3 linked regions of the Callithrix jacchus genome follow. The protein of the gene in region 2 interacts with the protein of the main gene of each other region in a biochemical or structural test. Links are inferred from orthologs where the notes say so. Each region holds a gene or a part of one and is shown on either strand. Other genes may lie near its edges. The genes, in order: PEX7, PEX5 and AGXT.

What was found.
Region 1: the proteins of PEX5 (region 2) and PEX7 form a complex in vitro, tested with the Homo sapiens proteins (3 studies listed by BioGRID). The link is inferred for Callithrix jacchus from reciprocal best matches to the Homo sapiens genes PEX5 and PEX7.
Region 3: the proteins of PEX5 (region 2) and AGXT are reported together in a solved structure, tested with the Homo sapiens proteins (2 studies listed by BioGRID and IntAct, with this or other methods). The link is inferred for Callithrix jacchus from reciprocal best matches to the Homo sapiens genes PEX5 and AGXT.

The regions. Positions count from the first base shown.
Region 1 is NC_133505.1:143,635,943-143,639,592, forward strand, and holds part of PEX7 (peroxisomal biogenesis factor 7), read left to right. Parts: intron 1-724; coding exon 725-875; intron 876-3,650. UniProt on the Homo sapiens protein: Receptor required for the peroxisomal import of proteins containing a C-terminal PTS2-type peroxisomal targeting signal. Specifically binds to cargo proteins containing a PTS2 peroxisomal targeting signal in the cytosol.
Region 2 is NC_133510.1:21,501,635-21,504,925, forward strand, and holds the end of PEX5 (peroxisomal biogenesis factor 5), read left to right. Parts: intron 1-269; coding exon 270-435; intron 436-904; coding exon 905-1,062; intron 1,063-1,240; coding exon 1,241-1,442; 3' UTR 1,443-2,696; downstream 2,697-3,291.
Region 3 is NC_133507.1:162,140,663-162,144,312, reverse strand, and holds part of AGXT (alanine--glyoxylate aminotransferase), read right to left. Parts: coding exon 3,615-3,650; intron 2,512-3,614; coding exon 2,441-2,511; intron 1,547-2,440; coding exon 1,462-1,546; intron 451-1,461; coding exon 355-450; intron 1-354. UniProt on the Homo sapiens protein: Peroxisomal aminotransferase that catalyzes the transamination of glyoxylate to glycine and contributes to the glyoxylate detoxification.

The sequences.
Region 1 (3,650 bases), on a different chromosome or scaffold from region 2:
GGTTCAAAGTGATTCTCTTTCCTCAGCCTCCTAAGTAACTGGGATTACATACAGGTGCCTGCCACCATACCTGGCTAATTTTTTAGTTTTTAGTAGAGACAGGGTTTTGCCATTTTGGCCAGGCTGGTCTCGAACTCCTGACCTCAGGTGATCTGCCTGCCTTGGCCTCCGAAAGTGCTGGTATTACATGCATGAGCCACTGGGCCTGGCCTAAAATTTTTTTTTTTTTTAATTGGCTGTGCCCCAATGGTCTACCTCTGTAGTCCCAGCTACTTGGGAGGCTGAAGTGGGAGGATTGCTTGAGTCCAGTTCAAGGCTACAATGAGCTCTCATTGGGCCCCTACACTCCAGCCTGGGTGACAGAGCAAGACTCCTTCTCTTAAATAAAAAACAAAACAAAACAAATCTGAAGCCTATCTCTTAGTGTCCACTCATAAATTATAAAACTTATAACAAATGTGGAGTAGTATACTTTGCAACATTACATTTTTGGATTATGACATTCCTATGGACTTTTTTTTTTAGCCTTTCTGAATCTGTTGCCATATTTATCAAGTACCTGCTCTATTTAATTCCCATAGTTGTGAAGATTACATGAGATATATCTATTGAAATATGTGATGAATTTTAAGGAAAAAAGCCATAATTGTAATTATTATTTTTTGTGTGTGTAGCTGCCTGTATAAGTGTTGTTTGTTTGTTTGTTTGCTTTTTCCTGGTATAGCTTTGACTGGAGTGATGGTTTGTTCGATGTGACCTGGAGTGAGAACAATGAACATGTCCTCGTCACCTGCAGTGGCGATGGCTCGCTACAGCTCTGGGACACAGCCAGAGCTGCGGGGCCACTGCAGGTCTATAAGGAACACACTCAGGAGGTAGGTGGGGAATCTTTCTGGGCTGATTATTTTTCTTTCTTCGACTTTGGTTGAAATCCATTTGGGGATGCACACATGGAGAAATGTCTCCCAGGGACAAGTTTAAACTTTAGTATTTCTTAGACACACTAGATGTCACTTATTATTTGATTATTCAAACATAAAGTACCTCTTGGCGTAAGGAGCTGAGAAAGAAAAGAAAAGGTCAGTCTTCTCATTAGGCAGAAAAAAACGCCTCCAGCAGTGTGCTCTGGGTTCATTTCCTCCCGAGAGGCCCATCACTTTCTTTGTGCTCTAAGAATGTGCTTGCCACAGGGTGCTTTAAGATAGAGGTAGGTGGACTTTTCACAGAGACATCACAAGATTGCCTTTGGGGCTTCAGTGAGATTCTTGAGGAGTTTCAGAATATATTGGAGCAAGAGCATAAAATACTGAGTATGAGGCAGAACTTTGATCATTTATATCTACATCTGGTTCATGTGTCTAGATTTTGTGTGTGTGTGTGTGTGTGTGTGTGTATGTATAGCATAGAAAATAGTTTCAGTTGTACTAACATACATATATATTTTCAGTGAAGATAGTAATGAAGACATCCTCTTTTTTGTGTTTTTACCTTAAATGTTTTAAGATTTTCCTTAAGGTGGCAGTACGTCCTTCAAATGAAAACTTGCTAATTTACTTTCAAATTTTTGTCCACCACAGTGCCTGGTCCAAGAAGGCCCTCAATAAATGCTTATTAGATGCAAGAATATCAGTCTTTTGTGGTAAAAGATTAGTTATGTGAGGGATCCAGATGTTTTATAGCTGTAGGTATTGACAATCAAGATTTCTAAAATTGTTATTGAAATATTGACATTTCAGTTTCTATTTTTATTTTTATTTTATTTATTTTTATTTTTGAGATTGAGTCTCACTCTTTCGCCCAGGTTGGAGTGCAGTGGCGCAATCTCAGCTCACTACAGCTTCTACCTCCCGGGTTCAAGCAATTCTTCTGGCTTAGCCTCCCAAGTTGCTGGGACTACAGGCAAGCACCACCAACACCTGGCTATTTTTTAAATTTTTTTGAGATGGAGTCTTGCTCTGTCACTCAGGCTGTATTTTTAGTAGAGACAGGGTTTTACTATATTGACCAGGGTGGTCTCAAACTTCTGACCTCATGATCCACCCGCCTTGGCCTCCCAAAGTGCTGGGATTAGAGGTGTGAGCCACCGTGCCCAGCCAGTTTGTAATTTGATTGTGATAGCTATTTGAATAAATGTAGTTGTGAATCACCATGTTTTCAGGGAATTACTGACTATTAAGACAATTTTGATAAAGGAGAAATTTTAGTTTCAGGATGATCCATGCACGAATCTTTACAGAGTAGTATGTCCAAAATTCAGATACTTTTGTGGAACCTGGGTGAATTTTTTTGTTTTGTTTTGTTTTATTTTAGTCGGGGTCTCGCTCTGTTGCTCAGGCTGGAGTGCAGTGGTGCGATCTTGGTTCCCTGCAACCTCCACCTCCTTTTCATTGTATTTGCAGGTGGTGGAAAGAGGACGAGAGAGGTTTTGGAAATCCCTTTTATAAGAGCACTAATCTCATTCATGAGGGCTCTAAATTCATGACTCCCAGGCTCAAGCCGTTCTCATGTCTTAGCCACCTGAGTAGCTGGAATTACAGATATGTGCCACCATGCCCTGCTAATTTTTGTATTTTCAGTAGAGATGGGGTTTCACCATGTTGGTCAGGCTGGTCTTGAACTCCTGGGCTCAAGTGATCCCGCCTGTGTTTTTGTGTGTGTGTGTGTGTGGTTTTTTTTTTTTTTTGGAGAGATGAAGTTTCGCTGTGTTGCCCAGGCTAGTTTTTGTGATTTTTGATATCTTTTTATATCACTTATATTATAATTAATTTAATGTTTTTCTTTTTCTTCTTTCTTTTTTAAAAAAATATTTTCTTCTCAGAAGTTTTTTTCCTTTTTCTTAAGTCTTTGGTGCCTTTTATGACTTATGTGTATAAATTCAAGGATGGTAACTAACATCATAAAATAATATAGCTAATTAAGTTAAATTCAATATATTGACTTAATGTTTTTCTTTCAATCAACTAAAGTTGTTGCTTCATTTATCCTAAAACAGTAATATTCATGAAACAATGGGGTTGATGGTTACTTTAGTATGTACATTTATTTGTTTTTAATGTACATTAAAATCAATTAGTAATGAATAAAATAAATGTATGTACCAGTTAAAATAATCTCTTGTGCAACTACTCTCTGGGAAATACTGTTCTAGGATGTCCTAGATGGCTGGTCACTCAGTCTTTACTTCATCTCAGTGAAAGTGAATTTCACTTTATCTTGATATTACTTATTTGACTTTTAAATTGTTCTCATGATTAAGAAATTCTTGTAAGCCCAGATCTACCTTCTCTAGCAACCAATTGTTGCTCTTAGTGCCTTTCTTTGAAATGGTAAGACTAAGTCCAGCCCTCTTGTCCAGGAAACCTCTTGAAAATAGCCATCGTGCCTCTTCCAGACTGCACTTGCCATTTCATGTCCTGTCCTCAGATGGCATGATCTCTACATCTTTTATCCTCCTGGTAACCTCCTTTGATAATCCTGTTTTTCAATGTTCCTTTCAATGTAGTATACCTAATTTATTCCAGAAATGTGATGAAGGGCTAAGCTTTGTAAGATTTTACCACCATAATCTTGAGCGCCTAGTTCTAATAATATTACCTAAAGGGGCTATCCATTGTTCTCAGCCACGTCTTAGTGTTAGGTTACTTTGAGTC
Region 2 (3,291 bases):
GGAAGTTTGGATAGATTGAGACTGAAGGGTCCTGAGAGTGGGCTGGGAAACCTAGGATCAATCTGAAGGAGGTCTGCATTCTACAGTTCAGTACCAGGATGAAACAGAAAAACAGGTTCTTACATTGAACTTTGAGAGTAGAAGGGATGACTGATAGCTTGATGAATCTTGTGGATATGATTGACTAGTGAAGGAATTAATTTTGGAGGAATGGAAACATAGACATTTATCTACCTACTTTTTTTGTGTTTCTTTTCCTTTGCATCCAGCTCCCTGTTTCTTGAAGTGAAAGAGCTCTTCCTGGCAGCTGTGCGACTGGACCCTACCTCCATTGACCCTGATGTGCAGTGTGGCTTGGGAGTCCTTTTCAACCTGAGTGGGGAGTATGACAAGGCCGTGGACTGCTTCACAGCTGCCCTCAGTGTTCGTCCCAATGTGAGCCTAGGGGAGGAATGGAAATGGGACATGATTCTGTACCTCATTGAAGAATCATTTATTGGGAAGCTGGGTGTGTCATGGTGCATGCCTGTAGTCCCAGCTACTTGGGATGCTGAAGTAGGAGGATCACTTGAGCCCGGGAGTTCAAATCCAGTCTGGGCAACATAGCAAGACCCTGCCCCCTGCCACAAAAGAGAATAATTTGTTCAGACTTTTGGAGTCATGGGGTATTTCGTTCCAGTGTTCCATGTACTGACTGCTTTGGGAGGATTGAGAAAACAAGGGTGGGAGTCTAGGGTCATCTGGATAGGGTGAGAGGGATTACATTGTAGCAACTCACAGTGAACTGTTAAGAATGGAATGGGATGAAACATGTTAGCTAAACAGAGTAGTGAAGCAGTGAGAGTAATGGGCAGAATTTGATCTGAGTTGAGCTGTTCCTATCCCTTCTGCATCCCTATCTCAGGACTATTTGCTGTGGAATAAGCTAGGGGCCACCTTGGCCAATGGAAACCAGAGTGAAGAAGCAGTAGCTGCATACCGCCGGGCCCTCGAGCTTCAGCCTGGCTATATCCGGTCCCGCTATAACCTGGGCATCAGCTGCATCAACCTTGGCGCTCACCGGTGAGAGTATCTACTGAGCAATGAATGAATGAACATTTTCTCCTTGCCTGTGGCCCTAGCTCCTCATTCTCAGATCCTGTGGCTAACCAGCCCAGCTTTCTCTCTCTCCTGCTGCTAGCTGACCTGCTTCCTTCCATTGTTCTTCAGTACCAGCTCTCATTCCTCTTCTTCCTTATAGGGAGGCTGTGGAGCACTTTCTGGAGGCCCTGAACATGCAGAGGAAAAGCCGGGGCCCTCGGGGTGAAGGAGGCGCCATGTCGGAGAACATCTGGAGCACCCTGCGTTTGGCATTGTCTATGTTAGGCCAGAGCGATGCCTATGGTGCAGCTGATGCCCGGGATCTGCCCACTCTCCTAACTATGTTTGGCCTGCCCCAGTGACAGTGGGATGGGCTGCCCTGTGAGTGTCCACTGGAAGGGTCCCTGCTCTGGATGTGATTCCTTCTCCCCAAATGGGCCTACCAAGGGGGTGGGCTGATGACCATAAGCGGTACGGCCTTTCAGGAACTGCCTCAACGTAGGGGTGGGTAGTCTGTGTTCTAGTTCCTACATAATTGTGGGAAAATGAGCTGCATTATCTCTGAGTCCCTTGGTAATTCAAGGGCTGTACATCCAGCTACAGATCTCTCTGCTCATCATGCCTTTTCTTGGTGCTGAGTTTTGGGTAGGACCCAATGATTTAGGGTAACTTGTCATCAGCTGCTGTTTCTGATAGGGTCTACCACATTTGTAATGTCTCACCTTTCCCTCCCTTTTACTGGGAATTGATAATAGTCCAGCTCCCTTGGGCAGTGTAAGTAGGAGGTTCATTTGCTGTGCGCATCTAATGATGATGGTCTGGGGTGGGACGTGCTAGGAGTTTTCTGTTTGGTTGAATTGTTGATTTGGCTGAGCAGAGCTGATTTTTGGTAGGAGTGTTCATAGTTCTGTTATTCTTGGACCTCTCCTGGCTGAGCTCTGATTCCCTGTGAGCACGATGCTGATGCAGTAATCCTGTGTCATCATCACAGTGGTCCTCAGGAGCTGCCAGGGCCAGTTGCTACAGAGTGTCTGGCTGTGTGGGGTTGGAGGAAGGTTCACTTGTGAAAGGAGGCTGGGTGGGAGCAGGGAGGCGCTAGATTAGATGATATCTAGGCTCTGTTCTGGAGCATTGGGAGGACAGAGCAAGTGAGAAGGGGGTGTGGTGAATGCAGCAAACCCTCGTCCTCTTAGAAGCACCTGTGAATGGGAATTGAGTTAACTCTTCTAGAAAGTTGGTTCAGAAATTGCAATCTTGCAGATTTCTAGCAAGTAGGTTCAGTGTTACCATAAGCCTTTGCTATACTTCTTGAAATGTTTCTAGGGAAGAGCATTGGAAAATCCCTTTCCCCCATCTTGTCTCCGGAAGGTAAAGATTAAAGGAAGATGAGGGAGCAGCTTGGATTCTTCTCAATTGTCCCCTGCTTGGGGAGATAATGACTGCTAAGCCTCTTGCCTTGTCTTCAGTAGCTAATGATCAGAGACTTTTTTTTTAAACTACCATGGTCCCAAGATTCCATTCTGAAATTTATTTTTCTTTGTATGAATATGTGTAAATGATTTAAAAATAAAACTGTAAAATATTTGTACAAAGAATAAATGGAACTGATGTGGGTATGAGTTCTGCTGCTGGTCATGAAGTTGGGGTGGCAGGAGGTGCGTTCGTGTTTGGAGGAGTCTGATTCAACAGTTTTTGTCTTTCAAATTCTCGTTGGTGCATTGGTGACCCGCTCATCCCTCTAGGAATGATAGAGCACAGGGGACAGGGTCCCTGTGCTTGGGGAGCTTCTGGGCTAGCAGGAGAAACAGATTTCTGATAATCATGAATTTTTACTCCTGTTACTACTACAAAGGAAAGCGTGCAGTGCCATATAATTGTTAGGTTGTTTTGTATTAAGACTTACATGGAAGGATTTTGATAGTTTTTTGATGCTTAGGGTTTCTAAAGGTTTTTATCTGGCTCTGCCTGCTTTTGTCAGGAACTGTATCAAGTGCCATATCAAGATGGGTATTAGTCCTGAGGAAACATTTTAAAATATGCACAGATATTTATACTTGGAGATAGATGTCTATGGCCACATTAGAAAGAGAAAAAAAATCTTTTTTTTCTTGAGATGGAGTTTTGCTCTTGTTGCCTAGGCTGGAGTGCAATGGCGCAATCTCGGCCCACTGCAACCTCCACCTCTTGGGTTCAAGTGATTCTCCTGCCTTA
Region 3 (3,650 bases), on a different chromosome or scaffold from region 2:
CTTGGGTTTATGGCCAAGGTCGTCTTTTGAGAGGGAGTAAACTGAGGCCTGGGAGTGGGGAGATATGGCAGGGTCAGGTCAACAGTGCCCGAGGGTGCGCTGGGACTTCTGGGGAGAACAGTGTTTTCGGAAGGGTCTGGGGGCCACACACCTGCCCAGAGCCTTGGGCCGGGGAATGGGGGAACCTTGGGTGGGGTATTTGGTAGCCTGGTGCAGGTGAATTCTGGGGCTCTAGTTGGGGTTCATGGGGCAGGAAGGTGGGGGGCTTGGAGAATCCCCGAGTGCAGAGAGAGGTCGGCCCCCACCTCTCAGCCACGCCCAGCACCCCGCCTTCCCGTCCCCACTGGGCCTCACATCCTGGGCTGGCCGTCACAGCCCCAGAGGTTGGCCAGGTACTTGACGTCCAGGTAGAAAGAGGACGGCTTTGTCTTGCGGGAGTAGATCTTGTTCCTGGGGAGGAAGGAGCCGCCTGAGCCCCGGCCTCTCAGTTTGGGGTGAAGGCCAGGCGGTCTTGTCAGCCGTCCTGTTTCACAGGAGTGAGACGTGGCAGGGCTCCCAGGAGGGCCTGCCCAGCTGCATTTGTGCTCAGGGGCCAGTGTGGGACCAGGCTGGCCGCGGGACCCTCAGCTGTCCAGTCCTGCTGGCCCTCGGGCCCAGCCTGCACCTCTGCCCACATGGGTGTGACCCCGCCAGGGGGCACCTGAGGCTCCCTCTACTCTGTGCACCCCTTTCTCTCCCCCAGCCCCTCCCACGGGGTCAGCCTTCATTTCCCTCATCACCCAAAGGTGACTGCTCTCAGGCCCCCAGGCCAGGCTTGGAACTTGAAATGTGTCTGTCTCTACAACTCCAGGTCGACCAGCCAGCCTGGGCCTCTCCTCAGGCTCCTGAACACACCCAGCTGCCCCCTTGGCCCTCCCTGTGGTCCAGCGGGCACCTCGGACCTCCCCTTCCAACACCGAATTCCTGACATCACCCCAAAGTCCTCTCTGTTCTGGGGACCGGCACCTCCTGTTGCCAGGCTGCAGCTGGATGAGAACTGCCTTCGAGGCCTGGCCCCCTTCCCCCACCCCCTGCCCGGCCTGGCTCAGCATCTGGACACTAGCATGGGAGGTGAGATGAGGATGGCAGGGGACACTGTGTGTGGCCCATGTGTCCCTTGGGGCAACCCCTGAAAACTGAGCCAGGGTGGAGGCTGTGTGGGGCGCTGGGCCACAGGCCCCCAGTCCTTTCCGGACCACTCCTTAGTGTGAAGCTGGGAACTGCCGGAGTGCCAGACTCTGCACCCTGCACCACCCCTGGTCCTCCCCTCATCCGGCCTCCCCACTCCCCGTGAATGCAGAGCCTGTGGCCTCCCAGAACTGGGGAGCCCTTCCTGCCTGGTTCCAGCCCCTCCCGCCTCGGGCCCCCTGAGCTCCCTGCAAGCGCAGCCCTGCATGGGGTGAGGGGCTGTGGGTCACTCACTTGGCAGTGTCACTGAAGGAGAGTAACGAGGTCCCTGGAGGTGCGTTCAGAACCTTCTGGGAACCCGAGTACAAGATGTCAATGCCTGTAGGAGGGAGGTTCGCTCGGGACAGGGACCCTGTCCCATGGCAGGCCAGTCCAGCAGGGTGCCGGCCTCGCTAACAGGCGGGAGGGCTACGACCCCACCAAGAATCCGTGCACGATGGTGGGGAGACGCAGAAGGGAGTCCTGGGTTCCAATCTCAACACTGCTGAAGGGCAGCCATGACCTCGGCCCTGAGCCTTTCAGCGCCGCTTCTCCCTCCACTGTGCTCGTCCCCAGGGACAGCCCTGCCTCCCCCGCACTGCACCCCTGGGCTCCTCCCCAGGTCCCTGCTTTCAGTAGTAGTGTGAGGGTCAGCCCAGAAATCCCTTCCTCCCTGCCTGAAAACTCCCAAATCAGGAGGAGCTCTGTGGAAACAGACAGGCTCTGTGGAGTGGGCCGGGGCAGCTCGGTGGTGTGGGGTGCAGGCTCTCCCCAGAGAGCGGCTGGGCACGGGAGGCCCCTCGGTCCCTCGGCCAGCCTGGCTGAGGTTCCCTGCAAGGTGACCCTGACAGAGGTGCTCACTGCTTTGGACAGCCTGGCAGGGTTTGGGGTGGATGAGAAACGGAGCCTCTGGGGGTTGGGCAGAGGGGTCTCCTAGGCCTGATTGGCTGGAGCCCTGCCCCTTGCTCTTCCCACCGCCCCCACTACAGCTCTGGGGCCTCTCAAATGTCCCCCACCAGAAGCTGCCCCTCCCGCCAGCCCCCATGCCTGGATCTGACAGCTAAGTGGAAACATGGTGGTGCCAGGCAGTTTCTGGAGCCGTTCTTGCCCCAGTAAGCAGCGAGTGTCCCCCAGGCCAGGTGGAGATGGGGCGGAATCCTCACTCCAGCCAGGCTTCCTGCATGTGGAGCCTGAGGCGGCTCAAGCAGGGTAGGCCCCCGGGGCACAGCCTTACCTTGCTGGTCCATGTACAGAGGAGCCCCGCCCAGGGATGCCACCGAGTCCACCAGGAGCAGGCACTTGTACCTAGAGGGGTGGGGACAAAACAGAGGGCCCAGGTGAAGCGGGGGGCCTCTGGAGGGCTCGGGCCCCAGCCTGGATGGGGTTTCTGGAGGTAGCTCCAGAGCCTTAGGCTGGCAAGGAAGGGGCTGCCTCCCGCCGCCACCCAGGAGTTGGCAGCTGCCTTCTCCTGCCTTTGTCAGGGTCCACTGGGACCTGCGGCTCTTCCTCTCCCACCCTGAGCATCGGTGCAGAGGGAGCTGGGGATCAAGGGAGCGTCATGGCCCTTGAAGGCCCCAGCTGCAGGGCCCCGTACTGCTGCTGAAGAGGTCAGCTGGGCAGTCTGGGGTCCCCAGGCATGGCAGGCAGCTGAGGGCCTGTGTGGACCCCAGGATCCGGGGTGGCACTAGGCTGGGCCACTCTCTGCCGACAGCTGCTGGCCAGAGCCAGGGCCGGGCGGGGCCAGCAGCACTCTCGCCCTCCTCCACCTACATGTTTTCTTGTCAAGAAAAAAAAGACACAGAAAGTATCTCACGCTGGCTGCAGCTGGGGAGCCTTGGGTGTCGCTGCACCCGCCCCGGGTTGTTTGCGAGCTTTATTCACGGACACGGCCAGGCCACCAGCTGTCCGGACTGGGACCTGGCCGTGGAGTTCCTCTCCTCTGTCCTGTGCTCAGCCCTGCAACGGAACTGCTGGGTACCAAGGGGCTCTGTACCCATTTCCCAGGTTATCCCATCTGACTCCATTCAAGGCCCAGCCCTGTGCACTCCCGTGTGGGGTAGGGAGGCTAGGGGAGGGAAATGGAGGGCTTCGGGCAGCTTTAGTGCCCTGGCAATCTTGGGGCAGGCCCTGGCAGGATATGGAAGTCTGCAACAAGCCCTCTCCAGCCATGGGGACAGAGGTCAGTGGGCACTGTGAGGGTGCCCGGTCGGAGAGCACCAGAGCCTGCCCCTGGACCTGGGCTCATTTTTAGACTCAGCCCAGAGCAAAGAGGACCTGGGAGGTGCCTGCACCCAACACTGTGCGACAGAGGCTGGGGTGGGGACCCGGGCAGAGGGACCAGTGCCCACCCCTCCCCACAGCCTGGCTCTGAGCTGGGCTCCAGCCCACCTCGCCGGAGCCAGACTCACCTGTGGCAGAGCTCCCCAAAGCCGTCAAGGGGCTGC